4 linked regions of the Rattus norvegicus genome follow. The protein of the gene in region 2 binds, or shares a complex with, the protein of the main gene of each other region. Links are inferred from orthologs where the notes say so. Each region holds a gene or a part of one and is shown on either strand. Other genes may lie near its edges. The genes, in order: Bach1, Fbxl17, Skp1 and Keap1.

The links.
Region 1: the proteins of Fbxl17 (region 2) and Bach1 are in contact, whole or in part, in a cryo-EM structure (PDB 8UAH), measured with the Homo sapiens proteins. The link is inferred for Rattus norvegicus from reciprocal best matches to the Homo sapiens genes FBXL17 and BACH1. Residues at the interface, in NP_001156787.2 of Homo sapiens: Asp395, Arg421, Asn447, Gln473, Gln498, Glu499, Met524, Arg548, Cys574, Leu575, Tyr598, Val600, Ser601, Asp623, Trp626, Met651, Arg652, Val676, Gln678, Asp679, Cys680, Arg682, Thr683, Glu685, Gln689, Trp692; in NP_001177.1 of Homo sapiens: Val20, Leu21, Ser23, Leu24, Gln27, Val32, Leu33, Asp35, Phe39, His48, Arg49, Ser50, Val51, Ala53, Ala54, Cys55, Ser56, Ser57, His60, Ser61, Arg62, Val64, Asn72, Thr74, Pro76, His116, Asn117.
Region 3: the proteins of Fbxl17 (region 2) and Skp1 are in contact, whole or in part, in a crystal structure (PDB 6W66), measured with the Homo sapiens proteins. The link is inferred for Rattus norvegicus from reciprocal best matches to the Homo sapiens genes FBXL17 and SKP1. Residues at the interface, in NP_001156787.2 of Homo sapiens: Pro319, Asp320, Ile321, Asn322, Leu324, Pro325, Ile328, Lys331, Ile332, Phe333, Ser334, Asn335, Leu336, Leu338, Asp339, Glu340, Cys342, Leu343, Ser344, Ser346, Leu347, Val348, Cys349, Lys350, Trp352, Arg353, Gln364, Arg370, Gln371, Val373; in NP_733779.1 of Homo sapiens: Lys78, Glu79, Lys80, Arg81, Gln97, Gly98, Phe101, Ile104, Leu105, Asn108, Leu116, Asp117, Cys120, Lys121, Val123, Ala124, Ile127, Lys128, Gly129, Lys130, Thr131, Pro132, Ile135, Arg136, Phe139, Asn140, Ile141, Lys142, Asn143, Asp144.
Region 4: the proteins of Fbxl17 (region 2) and Keap1 are in contact, whole or in part, in a crystal structure (PDB 6W66), measured with the Homo sapiens proteins. The link is inferred for Rattus norvegicus from reciprocal best matches to the Homo sapiens genes FBXL17 and KEAP1. Residues at the interface, in NP_001156787.2 of Homo sapiens: Asp395, Arg397, Arg421, Lys423, Asn447, Gln473, Tyr475, Met524, Arg548, Asn572, Cys574, Leu575, Trp577, Glu596, Tyr598, Val600, Ser601, Asp623, Trp626, Lys628, Tyr647, Met651, Arg652, Val676, Leu677, Asp679, Cys680, Thr683, Leu684, Arg686; in NP_036421.2 of Homo sapiens: His59, Thr60, Ala63, Ile66, Met67, Glu69, Leu70, Gln75, Leu76, Gln82, Lys84, Ala90, His96, Val98, Ala101, Ser102, Ser103, Ser104, Pro105, Val106, Lys108, Ala109, Met110, Thr112, Asn113, Gly114, Val122, Ser124, Glu126, Gln163.

The regions. Positions count from the first base shown.
Region 1 is NC_086029.1:40,422,877-40,430,214, reverse strand, and holds the start of Bach1 (transcription regulator protein BACH1), read right to left. Parts: upstream 4,495-7,338; 5' UTR 4,408-4,494; intron 3,396-4,407; exon of another isoform or gene 3,100-3,395; intron 1-3,099. UniProt on the Homo sapiens protein: Transcriptional regulator that acts as a repressor or activator, depending on the context. Binds to NF-E2 DNA binding sites. Plays important roles in coordinating transcription activation and repression by MAFK.
Region 2 is NC_086027.1:110,243,402-110,250,002, forward strand, and holds part of Fbxl17 (F-box/LRR-repeat protein 17), read right to left. Parts: intron 2,479-6,601; coding exon 2,336-2,478; intron 1-2,335. UniProt on the Homo sapiens protein: Substrate-recognition component of the SCF(FBXL17) E3 ubiquitin ligase complex, a key component of a quality control pathway required to ensure functional dimerization of BTB domain-containing proteins (dimerization quality control, DQC).
Region 3 is NC_086028.1:36,900,158-36,907,558, reverse strand, and holds the start of Skp1 (S-phase kinase-associated protein 1), read right to left. Parts: upstream 4,652-7,401; 5' UTR 4,569-4,651; intron 4,531-4,568; exon of another isoform or gene 4,090-4,530; coding exon of another isoform or gene 4,084-4,089; intron 1-4,083. UniProt on the Homo sapiens protein: Essential component of the SCF (SKP1-CUL1-F-box protein) ubiquitin ligase complex, which mediates the ubiquitination of proteins involved in cell cycle progression, signal transduction and transcription.
Region 4 is NC_086026.1:28,049,485-28,056,654, reverse strand, and holds the start of Keap1 (kelch-like ECH-associated protein 1), read left to right. Parts: upstream 1-2,612; 5' UTR 2,613-2,888; intron 2,889-3,029; exon of another isoform or gene 3,030-3,169; intron 3,170-4,207; 5' UTR 4,208-4,254; coding exon 4,255-4,893; intron 4,894-7,170. UniProt on the Homo sapiens protein: Substrate-specific adapter of a BCR (BTB-CUL3-RBX1) E3 ubiquitin ligase complex that regulates the response to oxidative stress by targeting NFE2L2/NRF2 for ubiquitination.

The sequences.
Region 1 (7,338 bases), on a different chromosome or scaffold from region 2:
ATACAGTCAAGAAGGACACATAGCACCATCCCCAGTAAACTGCTAAAAGCAACAGAATTTCAGAGCCCAGAGGACCAGAACTAGCCCACACTGGATCGCTGTGCAATCAGTAAACAGGTTAGTAAGCAAACACAGCCAGGGCACACTGAGCTATTGGGAGGAGGGAGGGGGCAGACATATCTTCGCCAGCAGGAACTCACTCACGAAGGATTGAACAGAGAGGATCCAAGTGTTTGATGTGCATTTGGAACCATCACAGCTGCAACTGCACCTGCAACTGCACCTGCAACACACCCCTGTCTTTGGGTCCCTATCCCAGGTAGCTTCTCTACAGGGTTGTCATGGAAAGGAAACCCAGGGTGAACAGGCTGCATCTGGAGGGTAAATGTGTGCTATCCATGCTCCCCATAAACTGGACAGAGTCCAGAAAGTAGAATGGAGAGCCCAGTCCCATTCTAGCACTAATAAGCCAGGAGGGGAGTGGCCAGATTTAGTGGCTGCTAAATGCAATGGTGAGGGCATCCTCAATAGGATTCGAGCAGGATCCAGACAGAAAATTCAGTGTTCTTTACTTCTTCAAAAAGCAATTACATTTTACTAGCAGGGCAGAATGGGGTGCTCCACAGTGTTGCCAAGCCTGAGAACCCATGAGCACCAACCTGAAACTTTCTAGTCCCAACACCTGCCCTACGGCAAGTGTTCAGCGATGGTGGCCGCTAGCTCAGCTCCCAGAAGGACCTAACGAAACCAAGTAAGAAAGCATTCAACCTGCCTCTCTCTGGACACCAGAAAATAGCACCTAACAAATTATGTCCTGACCACTTGATTCATGGTATCACACTTCATCCTCACAGCAATCTATGATAGAGACCATGATCACCATCAATCATCATTATCACCACCACCACCACCATCATTCCCATTTTTCAGAAACAGAAAGGCACAGGACAGCTGACCCCAAGTAAGACGACGATGCTGACACTGACGGATCTTTAGCAATTTAGTTCTGTATTTCCCATCCAGAACATATGGCTTCTCTAGAGACTGTACAGGGACCCCAACTTTAGATGTCAATGCCATGCACTGCTAAGCCAGGAGCCAGGGATTGACAGAGATGTAAACTGGTATTTTACCTGCAGTTCTGAAATGCTTCTCTCGGCAAAAGGTCAGGCCTTAGCAAACAGAGCTCACATTCCCAATGTGTCGGGCATCACTTGAGTCCGGTACTTGGCATTTTTATTTTTTTTTTAACTCAAAAGAATCTCATAAACCGTCCATCCCACCCCCTGAGATAATCCCTTCATTTTGCAGGCTTGAGAGACTCAGGGTTGAGGGTTCGAACAATCGCCCCACCAAAAGAAAGGTAGAAACCGTGAAGGGAGGTGACTGTTAAAACCGTCAGCCAGGGACAGAGCAAGCTGCTGCGCTGTGAAGAGTCTTCTGACACTTGGTCATTTCAACAAGCTTTGTGGCTGCTCTGGTGAGAGTCACTTCCATAGGCCCTGAGGTGGAACCCAATGGTAAATAGTAGCCATGCCTCCTGGGCCAGTGAGACAGGTCAGTGGGTGAGGGTGTCAGCTGCCAGGCCTCAGGCCGCAGTTCAGTGCCCAGACCCACGTGTGGTAGAGAAAGAGAACCTATTCCCACAGGATGTCCTCAAACCTACACACACACACACACACACACACACACACACACACACACAGAGAGAGAGAGACAGACAGACAGAGAGACAGAGAGACAGAGACAGAGAATTAAGACAAATATGTAAATAAAAAATTAGTGACTACCCCAAGAGGTTGGCAGTCTAAGAAACTCCACTTCCTAAGGATTACCTAAATGCACAGTTTTAAGAATAATCAAAAGAATATAAAAAGAGGGGGAATCCACAGGCCTCCAAAGCGTAAGAGAATTTTTACCTTAAAATTTAAAGTTTTTGTTATAAATATCACATCCCAAATTCTAACCACTACTGTTCAGATCACACACATTCACCAACCGCCCTAGGGGGTTGCCTACAAATCCAAAAAATGTTATCAAAATGTAACTTTTTTTAATCTCTATCACTAACTTTAAGAATGTAGTAAGAAATTTACATCTTCCGGTCTTTACGATACAAAAACTATACATGAAGTGAAAAGTAAGTACTAAGAATATTTTGAAATAACTACAGCTCTCAGGAAGAGATCAGAAAATACAGACACACACACACACACACACACACACACACACAGTGTCTGTTGCAGACTTGGAATAGCGGTAATAGCAGTGGAAAGCAAACTTTATCCCTCAACAGACAAAAGGGATGATGTGCGTATAACCACATTATCTAATATGCAGACATTGATGTCACTCTGCTTCTTTAACTTCTTGCTGTGGGTATTTTCATGTTAGATCAATCACTCTGTATACTCCCTGAAATCTCCTAACATCTTAAAAAGACATGTTGATAATCCCTAAATCTAAAGCAGCACACCAACTGCTTCCCTGCTACAGATGTTTGAAAGGAAAACCGTCAATAATAAAAAATTCAGTATCATCCTTGGGGACCATGCAAAGGTTGAGTGGTTAAAGGCACTCACCACCAAGCTTGATGACCTGAGGTCCATGCCCCAGAACCCACAGGATAAATGGAAAGACCCACAAATGCAAGTGTCAAACAAATAAATAATAAATAAATAAATGTTAAAAAATTTCATAAGAAGCCAGCTCTCCTCCCCTTCAGACACGTTTCCTTTTCAAACTTTACACGGAGGACTGGTGTGAGTGTGTGTTCATTTTTTTTTTCAGGCAAAAAAGAAATCCCACAAGATCCATAAAGTCAAGAGACATACATAGACCCCTCTTCTTGGGCTTGACCCAAGAAGACCTGCTGACTCTATCCTTTCCCACCTTTCTCCCCAAAAACTAGCTATGCGGGAAAACCTAAAAGCCCTAAAAGGAAATCCCCTTTGTGGCCTCATAAAAAAAAAATAACTTTTATAAAGAATAACTATGCATGTATTCACCACTCCGCATCAATGCTAACGGCAAAGCAAGGCCAGCAAGAGAAGGAAATGTTACAATACTGTTTTGTTACAATACTGCTGAATGCCTTACCTCTACCTGAAATCCCTCAGACACCGCTTCCTCCAGCACAAATTGATTCTCCCGCAGTAGGCCACGCGGCTGCTGTTTAAACACCACCTAGATGCTACTTGGCCACGTCCTAAGCATGCTCTCCCACGTCACCTACTGATTACCTGTATCAAAACACACAGCCCGCAGCTGGGCCCCCTCCGGCCTCCCGAAGCAAGCCCTCGTGTGTGCAGCTCACCCTTTTATAGTGGAGGCATGTGATGCGCGTATCTGCACCAGCTGTTCCTAATTACCTCTCAGACTGGGGTGAATGACTCAGCAACACAAACTCTTTTAAAGAGTCACCCTACCTTGTTAGCCAACCAACGTAGTGAACAAAGGGAAGCCACTTGACAGATCCGACGACGGTTAAACAACAAGAGTCGATCACTCCTCCAAAGCTACTCAACTCCAAGATGACTCACCAGGAGCCTTTTTTCCCCTAGACTCCCTTATGAGGTCCAAAGCCAGAAGTGGCAAGCGCCTTCAAGCCCAGCCCAGAGCTTGCACCACTACCACAAGAGCAGGAAGAATAGGCCAACCCATACCTCTTCCCATTTCTCTGTAGCGCTCAAAGGCTCGACCAGTAACAAATCTACGGTGCTCATCCTTTAATCTTTCTGAACTGCCTTCCCTGCAAACACAGTAGTCTGAAAGGAGTGCTCGAATACCTAAACAAAGACCCAGCAGGGGCATCCTCCGAGGCAAGCAGTCACAACACTACAGTTCTCCAAAAAAGAACAGCATCCTGCAAAAACAGTCTTTGTTCTTCCAAGCCTGTCGCAGGAGCTGGATTTTCCCACACACGTTCTTTCAGAATTACTACGTCTGCCTTGACTCAGCGCACGCTGAGCGTAGAGAGCTCACTACATAAAAGCCAGCGGCGCAATTCCACTAAATGACACCAAAGTACCGGAGAAGATCGAGAACGCGTTGGCCCTGGCGCTACCAGACACGAACACAAAGCTGATGTCTATCATCGAGACCCCACTCTGCCTATGCTGTGCGAGTCTAAATTACAAACGTGCGGCGAGCTACAACAAAGGGGAGCGCGGACCGCCGGCTGGTCCCGGAACCCCGGCCGGCTCGGCCTTGCCCCCGCAGCAGGCGGAGCGGGACGCGGCCCGCGGAGCGCGGTGCAGGGCGGCGCCGGCACGGCCGACCCGGAGTGTCCGCGCACCGCGTAAACAGCACGCAGTCCGCCGCCCCTTCTAGGCCCGCGCGGCCGCCCGCCACCAGCCCCGGTGACCCCCGGGAAGGACGGCAGCCCGCACCGTCCGAGCCACTCACCGGAGCCGAGGCGCGGCACGGCCCGACTGCAGGCGGCAAGCGGCGGTCAGGTGACTCACTCCCTCCGCGCGGACGGCCGCCCGTCTCCTCCCCTGCGCTCCGCTCCACTCCGCCACCGCCGCCAGCGCCTCCCGGCGCTAAAGCCCCGCCCCGCCCCAGGCCCCGCCTCCTGGCTGAAGCCCCGCCGAGCTCCAGGCCACGCCCGTGTCTGAGCCACGCCCCGCTCCAGGCCACGCCCTCCGCTGGTAGGATCTCTATTTCGCCTTGGGCGAACTCGGTGTAACGTTGTGGAGCAAAGTACTGTGTGCCCAGGCCTCCAACCGCGTGCCCTACCTCCTCTGCCTTTGGTGGCAAGGTTACACGTCCCGGGAGACCACCTCCTCTAACCTGCTGAAGGTAAAAAAAAGAAAAAAAAAAAGAAAAACCTGACGTCTCCACGACCCCTGAGTTGTTGTTCTCGCCACCCACACACAACAGATTAGGTTAGGGTCTTCTGCCCCACAACCTCCAGAAACCTCGGAAGTTCGGTTCAGCTAAGCTCCTGTGCTGCTTTCCTGTAGGAGCGTGAGAACCAAGTGTTTGAACTTGCCGAAAAGGGTGTGTCAACATCTGTCTGAAGCTAGGCAGGACTTTTAGGAGCAGATTCTGAGAGGAGAAGGCTGTTGCCCTTCTAAATGATCACTAACTCCCCTTCAAGTTGTTTGTGTCCGATGAGGCCCTTCCTCGAAAACCACAAGGCATGTATGTAACCTGGACTGTGCTTTGCTCATTATAACCCTTTAATATGCATGCTTCCCTGATCAAATCCTTTCGCTGCTTGTACTCAGCCCGACACTGCTTTGAGAGTAATTCCTGTGCCCTTCACAGTTGCCTGAATAATCTGCACTCTTATTTACTAGCTGTATTCACCAACAAGCAAACACATTGTACCGGCCTTTACATCCGGAATAATGTACTAAGCATCTGGTAGCCTACTTCTGTCCTTCTATGCTGTACCACCAGGAACCATGAACGCCGGTTCAATGTCCTGTTGATGTCAGCCATCGTTCCTCAAGTCCTGCCCCTGCTTTTATCCTCAGCTACTTATTTGAATGCTTGTCCAATTGTTCGTTTTTATTTTTTTTATTATGTTCACGGTTCAAGGCAGTGTCTTTCTGCAAGGCTGCATGCACTCTCCACAAGGCTTATCAGTCTGGAGAAGGGGTGTGCTGGGCTGACTGACCTGATTAGAAATGAGGAAGGAATTACCACCCCAGAGGCCTGTAGCCCCTGAGACGTGTAGCCCTGGTAGGATTTCTGGAAAGAAATCGTGTTGCTGGCTTTGAGTTCTAGTGGAAAGATGCAGAAAAATGGGTAGCCCCAAAATGCAATGTACTCCTTAAACACACATGACAGGCCAGGGGCTCCAGGCAAGGGGTTGCTACCCAGTAGTAATATCATTGACATGACTACATCTGTTCAGTGCATAAACTGTTGTGACTTAAGAACACTCAATTACCTCCAAAACAGGTGAGAATCGGGCCTAAGTGTCGTGGGTGGCCGTGTGAGTGACAACCCAAAGGCTTCCTGAGGAAGCAGAGCTAAAACCAGGGCTTGGCTGAGAGGAGTGTGATCCAACAGGCCGTGAGGGGATCCAGACATGGGGGCAGGTGGCTTCCGGATCCTGAAATCATTATGTAGGTAATCAGCGAGAAATGAGGGGTGTGGGTTGATGAGGGCTCTGACAGACATTCGAGAGTTCTGAGGCATCATCCACTCTACTTCCGTTCCGAGACAAAGTATAATCTGCCTGCTTTCCACACCTCTCCAGTACATTATTTGGAAAAATTACTTTATATAATTACTTTACTTAAGCATGTTTATCTTGACTTGTCCTCTAAGAACACGTATTTTAGCATGGGCTGCCCACCCCAACTATTTGACAAAATGGGAAGAAAAACGGCAAAACAGACTGTCTTAGTCCGGGCTTCTATTGCCACAATAAAACACCATGAATAAGAAGCAAGTTGGGGAGGAAAGAGTTTATTCAGCTCACACTTCCACCTTGCTGTTCATCAGCAAAGGAAGTCAGGACAGGAACTCACACAGGGCAGGAACTTGGACGCAGGAACTGATGCAGAAGCCATGGAGGGATGCTGCTTACTGGATTGCTTCCCCTGGCTTGCTCAGCCTGCCTTCTTATAGAACCCAGGACTACCCGCCCAGGGCACACAGTAGGCTGGGCCCTCCCCACTTGATCACTAATTGAGAAAATGTGCCTTACAGCTGGATCTCATGGAGGCATTTCCTCAAGGGAGGCTCCTTTCTCTGTGATAACTCTAGCATGTGTCAAGTTGACACAGGAAACCAGCCAGTACAGAGACCAAAGAGTACAAACATTGTATCCATGAGAGGAGCTAGAAAGTGAGCTGTTTCCAATAGAGATCCCATGCTATTCAAAGATCTACAGGGGAAAAGAGAAGTCAAGAGTTCAGCCGTGGGAGTCACAATCATAGGGAGAAGGCTCAACTGGGAACTCCTGCTCACTGCTCCAAATTCCTTAGTCAGGTTCTACTTGATGAGATCAGAGCCATATTTGATTATGCCACATCTGAAACGTTGCTTGTCCTTTTACCTGGGAGCCTCACTTGAGGGTACACTCTGCCTGGGACCCTTGACGGGGAATTCCAGAGATCTGTCTTGAAGATCCTTCCCAGCCTATTTCTACTGGATGTGCTAAGTAGTCAATTTTATGATCTACCCCTTTTCTATTTATTATTTTACTTTGGTTTCTGTAGGCTGATCAGATTCACTCATTCAAAACTAAAATGGCAGCTATCGTAGACGATTCTCCGACTCACACAGAACAACACCTATGCAGTCTTTCTCTGGAGCATTCTTCTCCCCTCCACACCAAGATTTCAACGTTTTCTCACAGGATCACAATGGCCT
Region 2 (6,601 bases):
CTGTCCAAATAAGGAAAATATCATAAGAAACAGATTCATAGTCTAGAAGTCACTGAAGTTGTGAAAACAATTTCTGTGGCCAAAGTCACCACTGTTCATAGTTGTGGAAGCTCGAGGAGAGGCATTGCTTTTTATAAAGTCCCATCGATCACCTAAGTATCATTAACCAAATCACTAAATAAACTGAGTCAAACTGATCGGTGATTTCAGGTCAACTCTAATTCCCAAGGTCAGGCAGGCCTTTGAGCAGTCTCTAAGAGTATGAACTCACCCCAGTTCATCAAAGCGGTCTCACACAGTGCTCTCCTCTCCTGGTTTTTACAATGCATTAAAGTTTAGGAGATTATGTGGTGTCAGCTTCAAAACCTTTTAACATGCTTATCCATCCAGCCATCAGAAAGCTGCTCTTACAGAGACTTCTTAATGCACCTCCTAACTTTACAACTTCGTGGGGGAAGGCGGAAGGAGGCCTCCCCAGGACTCAGCAAGGAGGCAGCCAAACACATTTACTGCAAATTTACTTAGACACTGATAATCCAAGTATATGCTTTCTCAGTTGCAGAGAACAGTTTAGTTTTCCTCATCTGGAGGTACAGGGAGGACAGACACAGAGAGATACTGAGCCTTTTTTACAACAAGTAAACACTATTCTGTTGTTATTCTTGTAACCTCTTAGAAGCTAAAGTGAGGGAGAACCTACGAGTTTGGTAAAATACAGCCTCCAAATTAAATATAAGCAGCCCCAAATGAAACTTCAATGTGAAAGGAAACACAACTGGATTCTACCACTCCTTTCTTTCCTTGAAACAGTCTCACGATTCAGCCCTGGATGACCTGGAACTCACGGTCTCTGCTTCTGTCTCCCCAGTTCTGGGAAATCACTACCATGCCCAGTTGACTTCACAGATTCTAAGGTCCAGAGAACCCAGTACATGACGGGAGAGGCATACAAACTCACTCACAGGTCTCTCCCCAGCTTGGGGATCCTGCTGACCACATTCTGAGGAGGTGGCTAACTGTAGATGATAAAGCCTCCTGGTCCTGGGCTGGCTCCAGACGGGGTGGGCTCTCTAACTGACTGAACCTGGTTAGTAGCTGTCAGAGCTTGCCTACTACTGTTTTGTGTTTCTAGAATACTCTGCCTACTGCAGGCCCTTTAACTGTAAAGTTGACAAGGTTAGCAACAGCATGCTCTTAGCCAGCGATGACTGTGGAGGGAGACTTGTTCCCCTGGGTCTCAGTGCTGTTGCTAAGATACAAAGCAAGCAGCTTTCTGCACCCGGCTGAAAAGATACAGTTTCTAGAATGTAACTGGCAAAGGTCTAGAACAGTTGGAAACAACAATTAGATCTATAGGCAAAAAAGACAAAGTAGGGAGCAGGGAGGGTTTAGGGCCACTGTTACTTTGCCCCATATTTGTCTACATTTAGAAAACACCTGCCCTTTGAGCAACATGGTTTTCTAGTATCAATTCTTGTGATAGATTTGTTCCTTATTGTCTCTGCAGAGGTGGCACAGACAGGTAAACTGGAATACGGGGAGAGCATTGTTTTAGTGCATACCTCGAGGTTCACCATGGCTAAAGGCAGCCTTGGCACTGTGCAAGAAAGGTCGGAATCAGAGTCCAGAGGCTGTGTGTGAGCAGCCTTCTGCAGGTATCTGAGAGTTCTCAACCTCCATTTTCTTGCTTTTACAATGCAAATAAAGTACTCATTCTTTGATTTGTTATGGGGAAATTGCGGAAGTCATGGAGGAGAAACCATCTACCTAGGGTCTGTAAAGATGGTCTCCGTTTCCCTCCTCAGTCTTCAGATGTTGAACCTTCACTCCCAATCCTACAGTCACGTTCAATCCCAGCCAGCTGCCCATGGACCAGTGGCTGGGCCTCTGGGGCCATTTTACACATGACAGGAGAGACAGTGTGATGTGCAGGGAGACATACTCTTGCTTCCAATGGCCAGAAGAAATGGAGGTGGAGAAATGAAATGAACACGTATGAAAAGCCAAACTGATCCTTTACTCTTGCAGGAAGTTTAAAATCTAGAACTCTCTTGTCAGACCATACACATAGCAGTTTGTATGCAGCCTTTCTAAGTCTGCTGTGTGGACATAGGGAAGAGAAGCTCCGCCCCACCACGGCACCATGCGATCATCCTTTTGCTCTTAAGTACGAACACCCATTATTAACCAGAAATACAAAAGTAATTCTGGATTGCTTTAGGAAGCCAGGGAGAACATGCATGGCTAACAGTGTGTATGGGGTGTAGGAAGAGAATGCGGTGTTGCGCTATTTGCTACAGTAACTGGAAGCAGAAACCAAACGAGTCCGTCTTACTTTATCACATCTCATCAGGCCCAAGTATCTCAGGGACTTGCTGCTCTGTGCAATCAGGGTGGCTCCTTGATCTGTGATTTCTTTACACCATCCAACATCCACAGTCTCTATGGTCACGCTGTATCGCCCAATGGCTATCAGTGCTGCAGGAGGAACAGAGAGAGAGAGAGAAAACAAAACAAAACAAAACAAAAACATTGGCGTTAGCAGGGTAAGGGACCTCTAGCTGATCACGGAGCGCATTTCCTGACAGAACTGGTTCCTGAAATGCTGTGTGCAAATGAATGTTTCATAAACTAAATTAAATTGGAAATGCTTTAAGAAGGCTTGCCCTATGACAAACCCTTGTGTGTGGTGAATAATCATTCCGTAATTTCCCTCTCACTGGACTCAGTCTCTCGTAGGTTTATTCACGTCAAGGTCACATATACTTTCAAGCATCCAGATGTGCAGGAGGAATCGATACAAGTGAGTTCGAGATGGGGCACTGTAAAGGCCCAAGTGCTAGCTAAATTTTGTTCAAGGTAACTCTAATAATTCTTCAAAGAAAAAGAATGCCACATAAACACCATTTTGAGGTGTGTTATAATGCATGCAAATTTCTTTATGCATCAGTATAATTTTTCCCATCTGTGTGTGACCTGTAAAATGTAGGAGCATATAATATTTTTCCTATTAGTTCTTCTTGGCTGTTGGGAATTAAGAGTACATTATACATGTAGTTGAACTAAATTGGTGCCAGGCCAAAGAGCAGTAATGGGAATGTATTTGTTATGGTAAATTTCCTTGCCATATCAGAAATCTTCCTTCTATTAATATATAAAATGAGTTTGCCATCTGAAAACCACAACATTATCTCTGGTGTTCTTGAGTCCTTATCACTGTGCCAATACTGAATCGCAGATGCTTAGGCTCTAATCTCAGATGCACTCTAGTTATCCCTGCAAAGTGCCAAACCCCTGCAGGAGCCACCAATCAGCAAACAGGGCTGTTCTTTGGGGACTTCTGTGGTTTAATAGGTGAGTGTGGCTCTAACGTGTACGACACGTAAGAAGCGGCTTTTAATACCTGCCCGGAACATGTTACAAAGCATGAACCTGTGACGGAAACCCTAACAGCGCTAACACACATTAAAAAGGAGAGGAAGTGTGTGCTGGTCCCCTACTCTCATGACATGGTTTCATTTCTGGGACTGTTGAGGAGCGGGTATTGTTTTAAACTGTGCTGGCTTCATTTAGAAAGGCAGAATGTCTTTCTCATGTATATAAATACAACTCAGGAAACATCACTGGGCAAAATCTGATAACCACCTCTGAAATTTATTTTAACTATTATCCCCATGTCCACGGGTTCCCATAGCAAAGCAATCCCAGAAAGTCAGGTTTTTATGGTTTGTAAATCAACAATCACTGTCCCTGTTTTCAATTAAATATGCCACAGAGAATCGTTTAAAGTTCCTTTTTCCACCAGTGTTCATTTAACATCTTCGAATTGGACTGAAAGCATGTTCCAGTAGTAGGATAGACACACTATCCCAGGTTCATCCCACTGTGTCTCTGACTTGAGAAGACTATTACTCTCTGGGGTATTGGCATTGTTTTCAGGGGTTAACAATATCCTCAAGACCTTCTATGATAAAGGAGGCAGGAGGTGCATAGAAGAGTTCCCTTCCAGTCCGAAGTGTTCTGTGGGGCTTACTAGATGAAAATGCACAAGTTACAGGGAGCCTCGAGGTCAGTAGATTGTGAACAGCTGTGTTACCAAGATTTAAGACTGACACAAAAGTCCTGCACTATTCAGGAAGAGGTAAATAAATGACATGAGATGCTTTCCCAGGCTGCCCACTTTAGAGCAAACAAGGAGTCTACAGGAACTGCAGACCTGGTTCTGGAGTGACCTGTGTTTGGAGTCTTCCTTTGCTCTCTTGTCCAAATTATAGTAGATGATGGTGCCTGCAGGTAAGCAGGGCTTGTGGTTTAGTTCTGGCCTCCCTCTGTCTCAGCTTCACAATTCCCAACACAGCTCTTTCCTTCAGTGAACCCCACGAGCGCTAAAGCATTCTCTACGAACAGCCAAGACTGCCCTCCATAAGTCAGGATCTGGACCAAAGCTTTCTGGTTAAGAATCTGATTTAGCCTTCACAGGTACCTTAAAGATCGGGAAATCAAGTCACAGAGAGATTGAATGACTTCCACGTGGTCGCCAAACAGTAAAGATGGGAACAGGATCTTAAGGCGGGAGTGGGTACCCAGTCCTGCCTACTGATCAGATGTGCACACCAGAGAACCACAGGGCGTGGCATCCTAGAGGTGGATCTGTGGTCAGACAACTGAGCCTACGGGTGGGGATGTGACATGCTTGGAGCTCACGGCTGGCAGGTTGGAGGTGAGGGTGAGGCGAGGGGGAGAGAACAGCTCAGTAAACAGTCACAAGACCATGCTTTCTCCACCTCATTCTATTCCCACCTCCTTCTCACTGCCCAGACTTCAGTGAGAGGCCACGTGCTCAGAGTTCATCACCATCAGGGCCACCAGTCTCACCTGGGGATATAGCATTTACTTACTTAATGGCCTACCACTCCCATTAAGGTAAGGATGCCCTTACTGCAGTGAGCCTAGTACACAGCCCATGCCTGGTAGACAGTGGGCCCTCAGACATGCTATAAATGCAAGGGACCATTGCGCCTAGCCCAGTCTGTGGGAAGATGAAGCCTTCACCGAAGAACTAACCTAGAGTTCTCTGAAGAAACAAAGGCTCATTGGCAACTTGGCTGGCTGGAGGGAAACAGCCTATCGAAAGGTGGGGATGAGAAGGGTCAGGGCGTGCAGGTCATTCTATGAGGCTCAAGTATAAATGAGTCAAGAGTCACTGTGGAAACATCCCAGGATTGGCGAGCGATGCTGGGGCAGATGCAGCATGCAGAGCAGAGTCCTCAGCACCATCATGCTACAGTCTAGAAGACACAGTTACAGGACACGGAGTAAATCCAATTCTGAACTGTCATGGGTATTCTCAAAAGGCAGACTGACAGCTATGGGAAATAATGGGTCTAGGTCTGTGTGTGCCTGGGGTACGGGCTGGCCTTAGGATATTCTTGGTCAAATTCTCCTTAATCCACTGCAGGGAAAGAGAACTCAGGCTAAGTAGCTCACAGAGGCTGGCTCTAACAAAGGGGTGCAACCTAGGGAAGGAATGCGTCTGCTCTCTTCACTGCTCTCTCAAGACCTAATATTACAGCTTATGGATGGCCAAGTATTTAGTCTGTGCTGATAGCATTGACTTAATGGGAATTTTTGATTACAAAATATATATAAAATAATCTCTCTCTCTTGAAATATATGGTGCCTCTGGCAACTTCTTCATTTGTGGTTCATGAGCTAGCTGTGACACTGTAATACAATAGAACTTCGGGTTCAGCTCTAGCCACTCCATTTAGTAGATGCCTGACCTCAGGGTGATATTTAACTTGTGTGAGACACCACTTCTTCATCCAGATAATAGGGATATTGACTGGATGTCTCACCCACTTCACAGGTTCAAATGAGATAATGCATGTAAGGGACATTTTGTTACATAAATGTCATAGTTGGTTTGCCGTTTCTGCAAACCACGCTAGTGAGCGGTTGGTACAAAATGAAAAGGCCTGGCTGGAGCCTGGTGCATTGTCTGCAATACAAGCTTCTTGAGAGGCTGCAACAGGGGCAGCATACGCTCACATTAGCCTGGCCACAGGGCTGGCTCAAGGCTGGCCTGGACAGCTTTGGGAGAGTCCATCTGACAAGTGAAAAGGTTACGGCTAGAGCTCAGTGGTGACGGACCTGCCTGGTGCGGACTCTGGGCTCCGTACCCAGTGCCACAAAATGAAAAAGCTTCACAGTGCCAGAGGAGGAAAGGCTCTGGGGGCCTGAGAGTGTTGTGTAAGTGCTCTGGAGCCTGTCGCTGCTGAAGCCCTTGAACTGCCCACTCTACTGGAGATCACGATTTGTAAAGTGCACCTGTGCTTGTAGGCGTGTACACATGTATGTACACAGGTACATCAGAGGCTGGTGACACACTGCTCCAGTAGTTGCATGGACGCTAACTCCTAATTCCAAGGCAATTTCAACACACTTGTTCATGTGCTAAATGCAACTAAATGTTCAAAAAAAAAAAACCCACACAAATTAATAAGAGTTGCTCAGTAATTTTATGCTGATCAAGACTAAACATGAACCTACTGCCAGCCCTTTCCAGAGACATACAGACAGGAGCCAGAATGACTGCCAG
Region 3 (7,401 bases), on a different chromosome or scaffold from region 2:
TGTTAACAGTCGGCTGTCCTGGAACTCTGTAGACCAGGCTGGCCTCAAACTCAGAGATTTGTCTGCATCTGCCTCACAAGTGCTAGGATTAGAGGTGTGCACCACCAACTACTGGCTCTGCTTTTATTTAAAGAGAGAGAAAGAAAGGGGGGAGAGGGAGAAATTCAAGGGAAAGGGAGAGAGGGTCGAGGAAAAGAGAAGAGTGAGAGGGAGAGAGGGAGGGAGGATTATTTCCCAGCCTTTAAGGTCTACTTAAAGGCAGTACTGAATTTACAACTGGTTTTAAGAGCTGTGTTTTTGACATTTACTTTTAGAATGTGTGGGTGTGCATATACCTCAGCACACATGTGGAGGTCAGAGAACGAGCTGCAGGAGGATGGATCTCTCTTTCCCCTGTGTGGGTTCTAGGGATCAAGCTTAGGTCATCAGGTTTGATAGCCAACCATTTGCTAGTCCTTTAAAAATGTTAAGATACATTGTTGGGGTGACTTTTGTACGTTTGAAGGTTGTCTTTTATACTATTCAGATGTTAATTCTGTACTGACTGAGAGCCGAAAAAGGCTGGGATTTGGGTATTGTTAATCTTATGGTTCCTCACCTTTCTTGCTGGATGTTAAGAGCTGATCCACCAATAGCTAGGCAGAAAAGAGAGGGCGGGACTTCTGGGCTCAGAGAGGGTCTCTAGGAGAAGAAATCCATGGGGACAGGGAGGCAGTTGGAGTGAGAGAGGGGTTAATGGGGGTTATTTAAGTTGGATGAGCAAGCGAGGAGGTAGCCTAAGCTATAATAAAATTATTAAGTCTCTGTGTCACTGTTCATCTGCTGGCAGGTCCAAGAAATCCAGATATTATACATGCTTTCCATATTCCTTTATGCTCTCATGGAGTAATAACTACTCAATCTGAAAAATTAATTGCCACAATTAATTATTAACAAACCGAGCAAAGTCAGTCTAAAATAAATAAAGCTATCAAATAAAAGTAAATATCCTACAATGAAATCTATCAGTAAAAAGCAAGTAAACTACTCCAAAGAGTAGACTAGGATATGCTCACTTCTAAACAAGTGCAAGACCACATACAAGAAAATAAAGGTCATACAGGCAGCTGTCAGTAAGATCCCTAAAACCCGTAAGGAGCTTAAATTTAGAGTCTTTTTTTTTTTTCTGTTTTGGTTTTTCAAGGTTTCCTTGTGTATCTCTGACTGTCCTAGAATTCACTCTGTAGACCAGGCTGGCCTCAACTCACAGAGAGATCTGCCTGCCTCTGCCTCCCAGTGCTGGGGTTAGGGTAAAGGTGTGAACCCAGCTCCTTTTAAATTTTTTTATTACCTATTGTTCAGATGTCCAAGTTTGAAATCGTCTGGCTAAGTACCTACCAAATTAAAAAAAAAGACCTGCTTCAGCCAGGCAGTGGCGAAGCATGCCTTTTAATCTGGGCACTTGGGAGACAGAGGCGGATCTAGAGTTCAAGACCAGCCTGGTCTACAGAGAAAGTCCCAGGGGAGCCAAAAGCTGCACAGAGAAACTCAAAACAAACAAACAAAGCTGGAGAGATGGCTGAGTGGTTAAAAGAGCACTGACTGCTCTTCCAGAGGTCCTGAGTTCAAATCCCAGCCACCACACGGTGGCTCACAACCATCTGTAATGAGATCTGATGCTCTCTTTCTGGTGTGTCTGAAGACAGCTACAATGTACTTACATGTAATAAATAGGGCAGCCAGGACTACACCTAAAGACCTTGTCTCAAAAAAGCAAACAAAACAACAAAATACATTTAAGTCATAGTGGCAGGTACTATAAACCCAGTACTTGAGATGCAGGAATTCAGACATTGGGCACACAGCCAAGTTCAAGTCCAGTCTGGGTTACATAAGAATCTGTCTCAAACAAATATAAATTTAAAATAGCATGGTAATACTGTATGCCTTTAATTCCAGCACGTGGGAGTCAAGGTACAGGTGCATCTTTGTGAGTTCAAGGCCAGTGTACACAGTGAGTTCCAGAACTGTCAGGGATATACAGAGGAACCAGTCCTGTGAAGTCCAGTTTTTGGAAAGATGAGGATCATAATTTCAAGGACTGACTAGGTTACATAATGAGGTCAAGCCAGCCTTGGTGGAACTCATTAAGAGCCTGCTTAAAATGAAATATAAAAGAGGCTGGGGATACAGCTCCTGAGTGTAATGCCTAACATGTATAAAGCTCTAGTTCAATCTGCAATATTGCCCTCTCCCTCTGCCCAAAAGGTGAGACAGAGTATAAGTATTTCCACAATCCCAGCATTTTGGCAAACAGAAGCATTAGGAGTTCATGGCCATCTTCTTGATACATACAAAATAAATTTAAGGCTAGCCTAGTTTTCTTGCCCCTGTCTCAAAAACTGATCTCAACAACCCCCCCATCCAAAAATGCATCAACTGAGATAAAATATAAGTCATTAGGAAAAATATAATTTCATATATTAAAAAAATTAAGCAACTAGCTCCTAACATGACTTGAGTTTTAGGAAAAACCAAAACCAAACAAAAGCAAACCAGTATTAATACTAAAAGCTCTAAACCAGCAATTTATCATCTTCAGATTTCCCCCTCATTACTCCAAAAGAGTAATTCAAGACCTCTTTAAAATTTCATGGGGTTGGGGATTTAGCTCAGTGGTAGAGCGCTTGCCTAGCAACCGCAAGGCCCTGGGTTCGGTCCCCAGCTCCAAAAAAAAAAAAGAAAAAAAAAATTTCATAAGCAACTTTTTTTAGTAGTTTGTTTTTGAGACAGGGTTCCTCTGTGTTGCCCTAGCTGTCCTGCAACTTGCTCTGTAGCAAGGACTGGTTTTGAACTCAGCCATCAACCTGCCTCTGCCTCCAGTGCTGGGATTAAAGGTGGGCACCTGGGGTTGGGGATTTAGCTCAGCGGTAGAGCGCTTGCCTATCGAGTGCAAGGCCCTGGGTTCGGTCCCCAGCTCCGAAAAAAAGAAAAAAGAAAAAAGAAAAAAAAAAGGTGGGCACCAAAATCCCCAACTCACATGTAACTCTGCAGGTCTTATGCTTCTGAGGAATACCTGGGTGTTATAGGGTTAGCACTTAAAATAACTATTGTACCTATTTAAGGGTCAAACACTTAAGACTCGGCGTATCTCCTAAAATATTCATTCAGCTTTCTGAGACACTTGTCCCCATTCCTCAAGTAAACAATAATTGGGGGGGGGGGGGGGATAAAGCTTGTTTCACAATCATCCATGGTTGAAAAGACTCAAGAGTTCACTTTTCAACTCACAAATATGCTGCAGAACAGAGAAGCCCAGAGCAGCAGACCCTCCTTATAAGGCAACAATAAAAGTTAAAGAGACCAGCTTTTAATAGCAAAACACTATGTTCTCTTTATGGTCCCCAGCACTGTAATGATCACTCAGGAACAAGTCTATGTGGCTAATAAAGTTATTTTAAAAGACAATTCCATATTTCCTTGAAATAATTCACAATAAAGACATGCTTAGTCATAGTCAAATTTAGGTATCAGGTTACTTGCAAGAGAGCCAGGGAGGCAATCAGTTAATCTGTAATTCAATGCACTCTGTAATCCTAGACTTCACTTTTGTTGTGGTGGAATTAAGTGCAAAATTTTTAAGTAATAATGTATGAGATTTCGATTTGATATGCTTTCAAAAAACCCTTCTTTAGTTCTCTAAGCTCCTGGACTTGGAAACTAAACCACCATCCAAGTCTAGCATGAGAATTCTAGTACACTTAAAACAGACTTTAAAAACAAACCTGTTTTAAGTGACTCGAAATTCTGCCACTTGTTACTGGACTGCAGGGCAGAAGGGAGTGCATTGTTCTTTGCCACAACACAGTCTACTGTAACATTCTGATGAAAAACTGAGTCTCCAAACCTGAGGACTCCATGAAAAAGTGAGCCAAGAGGCATGTTTTAACACTATCCCTTAAAAACCCAACACCTTGGGTTTTAGCGTCAAGGGCTCCTAAAAGTCACACACCTCAGACGACAAGGTCTATTACAATAAGTTCAGAGACTGCAGGACGTGACAAAAAAAAAAAAAAAAGCGAAGAAATATCGGGAACCTGTTACCTGCATATTCGGTGGTTAAATAGGTAAGACCAGTAAGGAGCAAATGTCGCCAGATACAGGAGGAAGGGAGAGAGCTAAGTATCGAGTGGCAACGACCGCCACCACCCGGAAGGCCCGGGACCCCTACTCAAAGCCTTGCGGCCAACCCGCCCTGGAGCGCGGAGCAACAAGCCTGTCGCTAAGGCAGGCCCGGGACGAAGCCTAGGCCTTGCAGCCGCGTTCGGGGCCGACTGACGTCGCCCGCAAAAGAGCAGGCCTGCCACAGAGCTGGATACAGCAGCGAGCGAGCGCCGAAAGGATGGGCGGCCCTAGAAGGCCTGACTCGGCCGCCTCGCGCCTCCCGCGGTCCGGGGTCGGCAACGGGCCGCACAGCGCCTCAGGACACGCCAGGCCGACTCGCCGCCTCGTGCACGCCACAGCCAACCCGGGGCTCCCACCCAGCCCCTCCCTCCAGGACCTGGTCCGGCTCGCGGGCTGCTACTCACCGTGCTCGGTCTCAAGACCGCAGGCCTGAGGCTGCCGAACAGAGTTCACAACCGAATAGAAGTCTCGAGAACAAGGCCACTACAGCAGCGCCGCGCGGCGTCAGCTTTTATAGGAGCGGGAAGAGGGCACCGAGGACCCCGAGTTCGTGACGTCACACAGCCGGCCGGGCTGGCCGTTGAGAGTGCCTGACGGCATGCGGAAGGCGGGTGGCAGGTTCTGGGCGCCGCAGAGGTCTCCTGGAGAGGTGCTGAGCGGCGATGGGTGGAAGGGTGGCTGAGCAGGAGGGGGACTTCCACTTTACTCCGCCGTCCTGAACAACGCCGTGCTCTCCTTCCGTGCGGACGCCGGCACCGGCTGGGGAACCATCGCGACCCGAAGGGTCTTTCAGGCAGAGGCTGTCTTAAACTGCTTGAAAGACCCCAGTCCTGAAAAGCCTGGAAAGAACAAACCGCAAAACCGGTTGTGGGTGGGTGTGCTTTAAAGGAGTCACCTCAGCCTGACCACTGTTACTCTCCTAATAACCCAAGGAAATAAGGGTTTTTGGTTTGTTTGGTTTTTTTTTTTTTTTTCCGACCTGGAATTAAGGACTTGAACCTTACTCCACTGATAACTGAGCTTTAAAAAATTACGGATGTTGAGTCAAGGTGTCTCTAAATACTCCTGACTTGGTGCACCTGCTTAGTTTTTATTTTCTTTGCATTTTAAGACGGGGTCTCGTTTGGCACAGAGTGACTGCAAATTCATTGCGTAGACCAGGTTGGTCTAAAACTCGTGAGATTACCGGCTTTTTTTTTTCACCACATATACTCGCCTTATACTCTTTTTGTTTTGTTTTGTTTTGTTTTGAAACAGGGTCTTACTAGATAAACCAGGTTTGGAACTCGCTATTTAGACCAGGCTGGCTTTAAATTCAGATCTGTGTTTCCAATAGCTCAGCGCTGGGAGGCAGGCACCACCTTGTTGGATAATCTTAACCTTTATTTCCTACCTTTGAACTTTGAAGAGGCTTTCACACCCCAAATAGCCATTGTTGGAGTGAAGCGCCAAGCCTGGAGAGAGAAAACAGGGATGTGGAATGGAGGGTATATTCTTCGGGTAATCATGCTCTCTGCCTGTGTGTGAGGCCTGTGAGGCCCGCGCTGGGAATCCATCCAGTAGTGAACCAGGACAGTCAGCCCAACCTGAACAGACTATGCTGTATGGGCAGCTCACAGAAGGCTGTGATAAGGTCGCTAGAATGAAACAACTTTGAAGTAAAGGGAGAGGTCTGAAAGGACCCATCTGGCCTCAGCCCAGCCAGGAACTGGGCACTTGCCTGCCCTGCCCCGCTGTGTCTAGGGAGCATCACTATCCCCACCAAGGCGCCAGGCTCACCTAGCCAATGAGCACATGATGGTATTCCTGGCACCACAAAGACAAAAGACGTTTCCACACAGGGCCTCCTAAAGAAACCAGAGCCTACAGTTTCTCCAGGACAAGTCTGGGCAGAGAGGCCAAGCAATGGCTTGAATGACCAGGTCTTTGTCTGATGGCTGTGGTATCCAATGTCTGCCAGGTGCCACAGCTGATGACAGAAGATGAAAGGCCCACAGTTCTCAGGCTCTTTATCTGCAGCACTGCCTGCCCTTCGCAGCTCCTACTTAGGGCCTGCCAGGAAAGGCCCACTTGGAGAGCCTTTTCCTCTCACATGGCATAAACTTGGTGGGCTCCTTAAACAGTCCTGGGTCATACAGCTAGTCTAAGAAGCCAGTACACTGCCTGTCACAAGATAGGTGTATGTTTCTCCAGAGGGATGAAAGCCTCGGTACAGGAATTAACCAATGCTTGGAGGAGAAAATGGAGGTTTTAGTGCTGGGACAAAGCTTAGCATGCCCAGGACCCTGGGTTCAATCCTTGCGGTGCCCAGACTATTTAAGGTACAAATTAGTTCACAAAAGATGCACAAGAAATTGTTTGCCTCAAAGAAATGGAGCTAGCAGGTGGGGCAAATGTTGGGTGATTTGTATATTTTCCTGCCATTTGCCTATGGGTTCATAGGCATGTTTTACATAGTAATTTTTTTCCCTGAAGTGAGTTAGGCACAGCACTACAACTTTTTTTTGCAAGTCTGTTTTCTGGTTCTGGGGATGTGGTTCAATTGGTGGTGTGCCTGCCTTGCATGTGTGAGGCCATGGGTTTGGTTCCCAACACCCCCATAAACTGTACAAGTCTGTAACCTCAGGAGACAAAAACGGGAGACTCAGAAGTTCATGACCATCCTCTGCACTTAGTGAGTTCAAGAATAGTCTGGTCTACATAATTTTGGATCAGCTGAGGCTATAGAGTAAGAACCTAAATCAAAAAAGAATGTTTAAGTGAATAATGCACTTATAATTGGCCCCACTCAAGGAAAGGCAGCTGGGTCAGTTTCCAGTGTAATGAATCTAACGTGGGGCAGGCTTTTCTGCCTTTTTTTTCTTTTTTTTTGGAGCTGGGGACCAAACCCAGGGTTCTCTGCCCTTTAAACCATCCAAGGTGATTTTTTTTTTTTGTTCTTTTTTTTCGGAGCTGGGAACCGAACCCAGGGTTTTCTGCCTTTTAAACCATCCAAGGTGATTTTTTTCTTGTTGTTGTTCTTTTTTTTTCCCCGGAGCTGGGGACTGAACCCAGGGCCTTGCGCTTCCTAGGCAAGGGCTCTACCACTGAGCTAAATCCCCAACCCCCATCCAAGGTGATTCTTAAGCTTAGGGTAAGTGGAGAAACCTCTGTAATAGGGCCTCAGTGATAACGAGCTGCCAGGGAGGAGCCAGCAGTATTTATCAGGAAAGACTTTTTGAATCAACTCTACTTTCT
Region 4 (7,170 bases), on a different chromosome or scaffold from region 2:
TGAAATTCTTCTTCTCTGAAACCTCTTGGGCCAGGTCAGCACAGTTCAAATCACTCCCAGCAACACAGTCTTCCATATTCATAGTATGATAGCCCATTAAACCCCATTTAAATCATTCCACTGCTATCCAAATCCAAAGTCCCAAAATCCACATTCTTCCAAACAAAAGCATGGTCAGGCCTATCACAGTAATACCCCAGTCCCTGGTATCACATTCTTTCTGTCTTAGGGTTTTATTGCTGTGAACAGACACCATGACCAAGGCAAGTCTTATAAGGACAACATTTAACTGGGGCTAGCATACATTCTGAGGTCAGTTCAGTGTCATCAAGGCGGGAGCATGGCAGCATCCAGACAGGCATGGTGCAGGAGGAGCTGAGAGTTCTACATCTTTCTCTGAAGGCTGCTAGTGGAAGACTGACTTCCAGGCAGTTGGGTGAGGGTCTTAAGCCCACACCCAGAGAGACATACATACTCCAACATGGCCACACCTCCTGATAGTGCCACTCCTTGGGCACCACACACACCACACACACAAACCATCACACACAAGGTCTCATTGTTATCCAACCAGTCATTCTTCTGCTTCAGCTACTTCCAGAGTAGCTAAATTTTCATGCCTTCATCTCCAGGTCCAGCTCCATCTTGCTTCTTTTAACTGGCTGGATAGTATTTCACACTACAGCAATACCACCAGCTATTGAGTCAGAAGCCTACAAAAAAAATGTAGGAGTTGGGCGAGTCCTTTGACAGTTAAACTGTTATATAATCATGGCTGTACCTGTGTGAATGAGCCTTGATAAATCTCCACAGCCAGCTCATGGGGCCTGGAGGCTTGACTTTGAGAGACAGAAATTGTGGTCTTAGGCACCAGGGCAGGAATCCCAACACCTACATCATAGCTGAGTGTGGTGAGACGCCACCTTTGGAGAAGGCTGGAATTGCAGTTTTATTGAACATAGGAAAGGTCGAGTTCATGTGGTGTCTCCAGGAACTTCCCACACGGATCAACATCATTTCCACCGGACATTCCTTTATTCAGATGATAAATATATAAAATAATTACTTAAAATTATATAGCAAAGTGTGGCGTCTATATTAAAAATGCCAGCACTTGGGAGACTGAGGCAAGAGAATTACTGTGTGCTCAAGGCCAGTCTGGGCTACAAAGTGAAATCCAGCCTCAAACATATATGAGTAAAACTGGGGCTGGAGAGATAGCCCAGCAGTTAAGAGCACTGGCTGCTCTCCCAGAGGACCTGGGTTCAATTCCCAGAACCCACATGGCAGTTCACAACCATCTGTAACTCCCGTTCCAAGGGATCCAGTATGCACCTTATACAGACATACATGCAGGCAAAACAGCAATGAACATGAAATTAAAAATAAATTGAAAGAAAAAACCCAGAATACACATTTGTAATCCCATTGGAGAGATGGAGACAGGAGACAGAGTTCAAAGCTAGCCTGGGCTAAAAATGACATCTTGTCTGCACCAGTCAGTCAAATAATATTAAATTTTTTTATTTATCTTTATTTTATGTGTATGGGTGTTTTGTCTTCATGGTTGTGGTGCTTGTGGAAGCCAGAAAAGGGTATGGGATCCCCTGTAACTGGAGTTATAGGCGTTCATTTTGACCCTAATACCAGTTCCGGGAATTGAACCTGGGTCCTCTGAAAGAGCTGTCAGTGCTGTAATCACTGAGCCATCTCTCCAGCACCAATAATAACTTTATTTTCCAAAATTAATTTATGTGTGCATGTGGAGGTTGGAGGACAACTTGGAGGAGTAAGTTTTTTACTACCACGTGAGAAACAGGGATGGAACTTAGTTGCCAGAATTGGCCAAATCTTATAGGTCAAGAAAATAATTTTCTCTCATAAATGCCTTTGTAGCAAATAAGAATCTCTTATCATATATATATATATATATATATATATATATAATGAGAAATGCAAAGAAAGGCAATTCTGGGCATTCCAACTCTCCAACACCCTCAGATGAATGCCACACCTCTCCTCATGAAAAAATGACTACAGAGAGAGGAGAGAGGAAAGTGGGCTGCTGTTGCACCTTGCAGGCTCCACATAGGGGAAGAGAATCAGTTTCTGCCAGTCATCCCCCGACCTCTACACACAAGCATACACACAAATAAATTAATGTACACAAAGCCCTGCGTGGTGTCACAGCCTTTAAACCCCCACCCCCCCACTCCCCCTCACCCCGGCACGCAGGAGGCAGAGCGAGAGGCAGAGGCCAGCCAGGGCTATGTAATGAGGCCATTCTCAAAAAAGAAGTTATAAGGCTGGGGTGCTGGCTCAGCAGTTAAGAGTACCTGTTGCTCTTGCAGAAGACCAGAGTTCAATTCCCCCTCTCCACAGGGTGGATAACCTGTAACTTTAGGGGGCACTGCACGCCCACGGGGCACAGACATACACGCAGGCAAAACACCCACACACATAAAGTAAAATGCGAATTGAAATAGAAACCATTAAAAAGTTATTTTAAAGGAAGATCTGTATCTCAACCAGGTACATAGGTCTGGCTGGGCCGGGTAGGGTGTGGGAGGGTCCGCTGGGGCAGGTTCAGCTAGAGGCGTACTGGACAGCCTAACCCGGAGGCAGGCTCCTAGGGCCGCCCTGACCCACGCCCTGCTCCCTCCGCCCGGCACCTGCAGGAAGGGCTGGAACCGCCTCTGCGTGCCCGCCGCCTGTTTCCGCCCTCCCGCTCCTCCCACGCGTGCCGCCCGGGACCCCGCAGCACCGCTGCCCCGATCCGAGGCCCCCTGGCTGCCCTCGGCTCCTCCCGGAAGCGCGGCGCGTGGCGGCCCGGCGGTGCGGATTGGACGCGTGGCACCAACAGAGACACCCGGGGGGGTGGGACGGAGGTGAGCGAGCGCCCGCGGAGGATGCGGTGGGGAGCCAGCTCCGGGCGCCGCCCGCGGTCGCGCGTGGGGACGTGCACGCGGTGGGGGGAAGCGCGTGACCCCTCCAAGTGCGCACCCGCGCCCAGCCCGTGCACCCGCGTAGGGTGGTGGCCGAGGCGAGTCGAGGGTAGGGGTCGCCCGCGGCCGGCGCCCCGGGACTCTTATTGTGACAGGGTGGTGCGCTGTGCTTAGTCACCGTGACCCGCGCGGCGGAGGCGGAGGCAGAGCGCGGCCATGGCGGGGTGAGTGCGCCGCTCCGGGCCGCGGCCCGGGACCAGGCCCTGCGGGCTCTCCAGGCGTCAGGGCTGCGCCTCCGAGCGTTAGGGAGGCCGCTGGAGCAGGCACCGGGTACCGGGTGGCTGCTGCTCAGCCCTCTGCGCAATGCCAGGCCCGAGCTCCGGCAGTGTGGTCACGCGTGACAGTCGCTCACTTACTGGGGCCCCTGGAGCATTTCATCGTCGTCCCCCCCATGGTGACCTAGTAGACATAACACTGGGGGACGCGACTCCAGGCTGAGCCCCAGAACCTGGGGAGCCAGCTGCAGGCCCTCTCTGTGTCCCCACATCTCCTTTGAAAGCATAACTCCTGTCCTGGCCCCAGGTCTCCAAGGGTCTCCTGAATCCCTCACCGTGGGTGTTCCAGAGGCTGCACACTCTGCCCAGGGCCTTGGTGCTCGCCTAGTGTTTTCTATACAGACCTTGCTTTATTTTCAGGCCTTTTCTGTCTTCCTGCTGTGTCCCTGGAGCTCAGAACAGTTGCAAGTATAAATGGCAGGCTCTGTAAATTTTGGTGAGGTGTTGAAGAAAGGGATTTGACATGTCGGATGAAGGGAAGGGAAGCATGGCTGGAACTGAGTGAAGAGGTCTAGAAGGGGGTGTGGAGTTTTACAGGCCATTGAGGAGCTGGGTTTCCACTCTTGGGCTCTGGGATAGGTATTGGGTGATTCTGAGCAGGAAAAGGAACGGCCGGTGATTTGAGAAGAAGTCAGTTTGAATGGAGCCGGGTGTGTCCAGTTCACTTGGCTTGACAAAAACTGCTCTAGAAATCATTGCTTAGTCTAAAAAAAAAAAAAAAAATTAAAGCTTGGCTAGATATGGTGACACAAACTGTAGTCCCAGTACACGGGAGGAAACAGCAAACAGCCTTGTTTACATAGTGAGTTTGAAGCCAGCCTAGGCTAAGACCCTGTCTCAAAAGAAAACAAGAAACAAACAAACAAACAAAAAAAAAATGTGGCAGGGTCTGGCCTAATCCAGCCCTGTACTCTTCCCTCCTTCCAGGCCCCTAATCGCTAGTGGTGGAACTGTATCTTGTCATCAGGAACCCCATGCAGCCCGAACCCAAGCCTAGCGGGGCTCCCCGCAGCAGCCAGTTCCTGCCCCTGTGGTCAAAGTGCCCGGAGGGGGCAGGGGACGCGGTGATGTATGCATCCACGGAGTGCAAGGCGGAGGTGACGCCCTCGCAGGATGGTAACCGAACCTTCAGTTACACACTAGAGGATCACACCAAGCAGGCTTTTGGCATCATGAACGAGCTTCGGCTGAGCCAGCAGCTCTGTGACGTGACCCTGCAGGTCAAATATGAGGACATCCCAGCTGCCCAATTCATGGCCCACAAAGTGGTGCTGGCCTCCTCCAGCCCAGTCTTTAAAGCTATGTTCACCAACGGGCTTCGGGAGCAGGGCATGGAGGTGGTGTCCATTGAAGGCATCCACCCCAAGGTCATGGAGAGGCTAATTGAGTTCGCCTACACGGCCTCCATCTCCGTGGGCGAGAAGTGTGTGCTGCATGTGATGAACGGGGCAGTCATGTACCAGATTGACAGCGTGGTCCGAGCCTGCAGCGACTTCCTCGTGCAGCAGCTGGACCCCAGCAACGCCATCGGCATCGCCAACTTCGCCGAGCAGATCGGCTGCACGGAACTGCACCAGCGTGCTCGGGAGTATATCTACATGCACTTCGGGGAGGTGAGTAAGACCTGGGGTTTGGGCTCAGTTGTCACAAGAAGTGGGATGGGCCAGCATAGTGCTCTCCGAGACTGGAGCGGCCATTCAAGGCTGGAGGAAGATTTCTTTTTTTCTTCCTCCTTTTCTCCATAGGGCCTCATGTAGCTCAGGCTGGCCCTAATCTGGTTGTGTATCTGAGGATGGTTTTAAGTTCCTGATTCCTGTGTCAGTCTCCCAAGTACTGTAGTCACAGACTCCCAGTATACTTAAGAGATACTGGAATGGAACGCAGAGCCCCAGGACTTGGTTTTACTTTTGTTTTTAAATCTTTTTTTAAAAATTCATTTACCTTTATTTTGTGTGCATTATTGTTTTGCCTGAATGTTTTTCTATGTGAAAGGGTCAGGTCTTGGAGTTACAGACAGTTGTGAGCTGCCACGTGGGTGCTGGGATTTGAACTCTGGTCCTCAGGAAGAGCAGTCAGTAGTGCGCTCAACTGCTGAGTCATCTCTCCAGCACCTTAGATTTTATTTTTTTTGGCAGACTTCTCTAGCTGAGGCTTTTTTTGTTTTTCTTTTACTTTTGTTTTTTGAGACAGAGTTTCTCTGTGTAACAGTCCTGTCTGTTCTGGACCTCAATTTGTAGACTGGCCTGGCCTTGAACTAAGAGAGATCCACCTGCCTTAGTAATTAAAGGTGTGTACCACCACACCTGGCTATTGAAGCTATTGTTTTGTTTTGTTTTTGTTTTTTAAGTCCTAAAAAAAATACATATATATATATATATATATATATATATATATATATTTGTGTGTATATGCATGCACTGATCTTGTGTGGAAATCAGAGAACAAATAGCAGGAACTGGCTCTCTCTTGCTACCTTATGTATGTTTCTAGGTTAAACTCAGATCATAGGGCCTGGCAGAAAATGCCTTTACCCTCAAAGCCACATTGCTGGACTGAAAACTCAGCTTCTGAGCCCCTAATCCAAATGCAGAGAGCATCAGGTGAGGACATGCCCTCCTAGTGCCTCAGCAGCCTGGTCTCTTTGGTGTTAAAAATAGTGATGGCCAGCCTGGGCTATACAGTGAGACCCTGTCTAAAAAAAGTGGGGTGTGTGGGTGTATATGTGCAAACATATTGGTGTACACCTTTAATCCCAGCACTCAGAAGGCAGAGGCAGGTAGATCTCTGAGTTCAAGAGTTCAAGGATAGCCTGATCTACAGAGGGAGTCCCAAGACAGCCAGGGCTACACAGAGAAACCCTCGGAGTGCGATTGAACAGGCAGTCAATGGTACCCACCAACCTCACACATGCAGTCTCCAGCTTTGCTTGGCTTTTCCTGGGTTCACATGGTATTGCTTTCATTTTCGTTTCTGAATACAGGAAGTCCTCAAGGGAAAGTAATAGGGCAGTTCTTAGGGAAAGCCAGTCAACAGCAGCCTTGGCTCTGGGTGGCAGTGACTAGAAAGGTCCCCTGGACATGACTGCATTCTGAATATCACCAACCCAAACCCCAAGTCTGAAATGCTTCAAAAGCTTTTGAACACCATCTGTCGTTCTCAAGTGGACAGTTCCACACCTGACCTCACAAGATGGGTGGCGGGCACATCAAGCCTAGTGCATAAATCTTTGGAGGGCCGATGTGCTCCTGGACTGGTAGAACCCTTCCCCAGCCTGTGCGAAGCCCTGGGTTCCATCCACACCTCACATAAACCAAGTGTGGCTACGCACACCGTTAGTCCCAGCACTGGGTAGGCAAAGGCAGGCAGAGCTGTGAGTTGGAGGCCAGTCTGCTCCGCGTAACAAGTTCCAGGTCAGATACACACACACACGCACAGCCTTCAGGCTGTGTAAGGTCAGTATGAATCAGCATGAATGTATTTTGTTTATTCATTTAGATTTTTGAGACAGCAGGTTGTCATAGCCCAGGCTTTTGTCTGAAACCCAAGATTCTTGTGTGTCAGGTTCCCTGGTGCCGAGAATCGACACGGACCTTGGTGGCTCACTTGAAGTTTATACCATACTCTCATTCCCGAGTTGTCTCCTCATCTCTGCCAAGCCGTAAGGCTCCCTATCATTTTATATTTTATTTTATTAATCTAAAATTTTGATTGTGTTTATTTCGGGGGCAATGTATGTGCCACAGTTCATGCGGAGGTCAGAATACTACTTGCACAAGTTGATTCCTTCCAGCATATGATTCCTGAGGGGGTTAAACAAACAAAACAAGGAAACAAACAAACCCAGTGCCTTTGGGAGCTGGTGAGGGCACTCACTGCCAAGCCAGAAGACC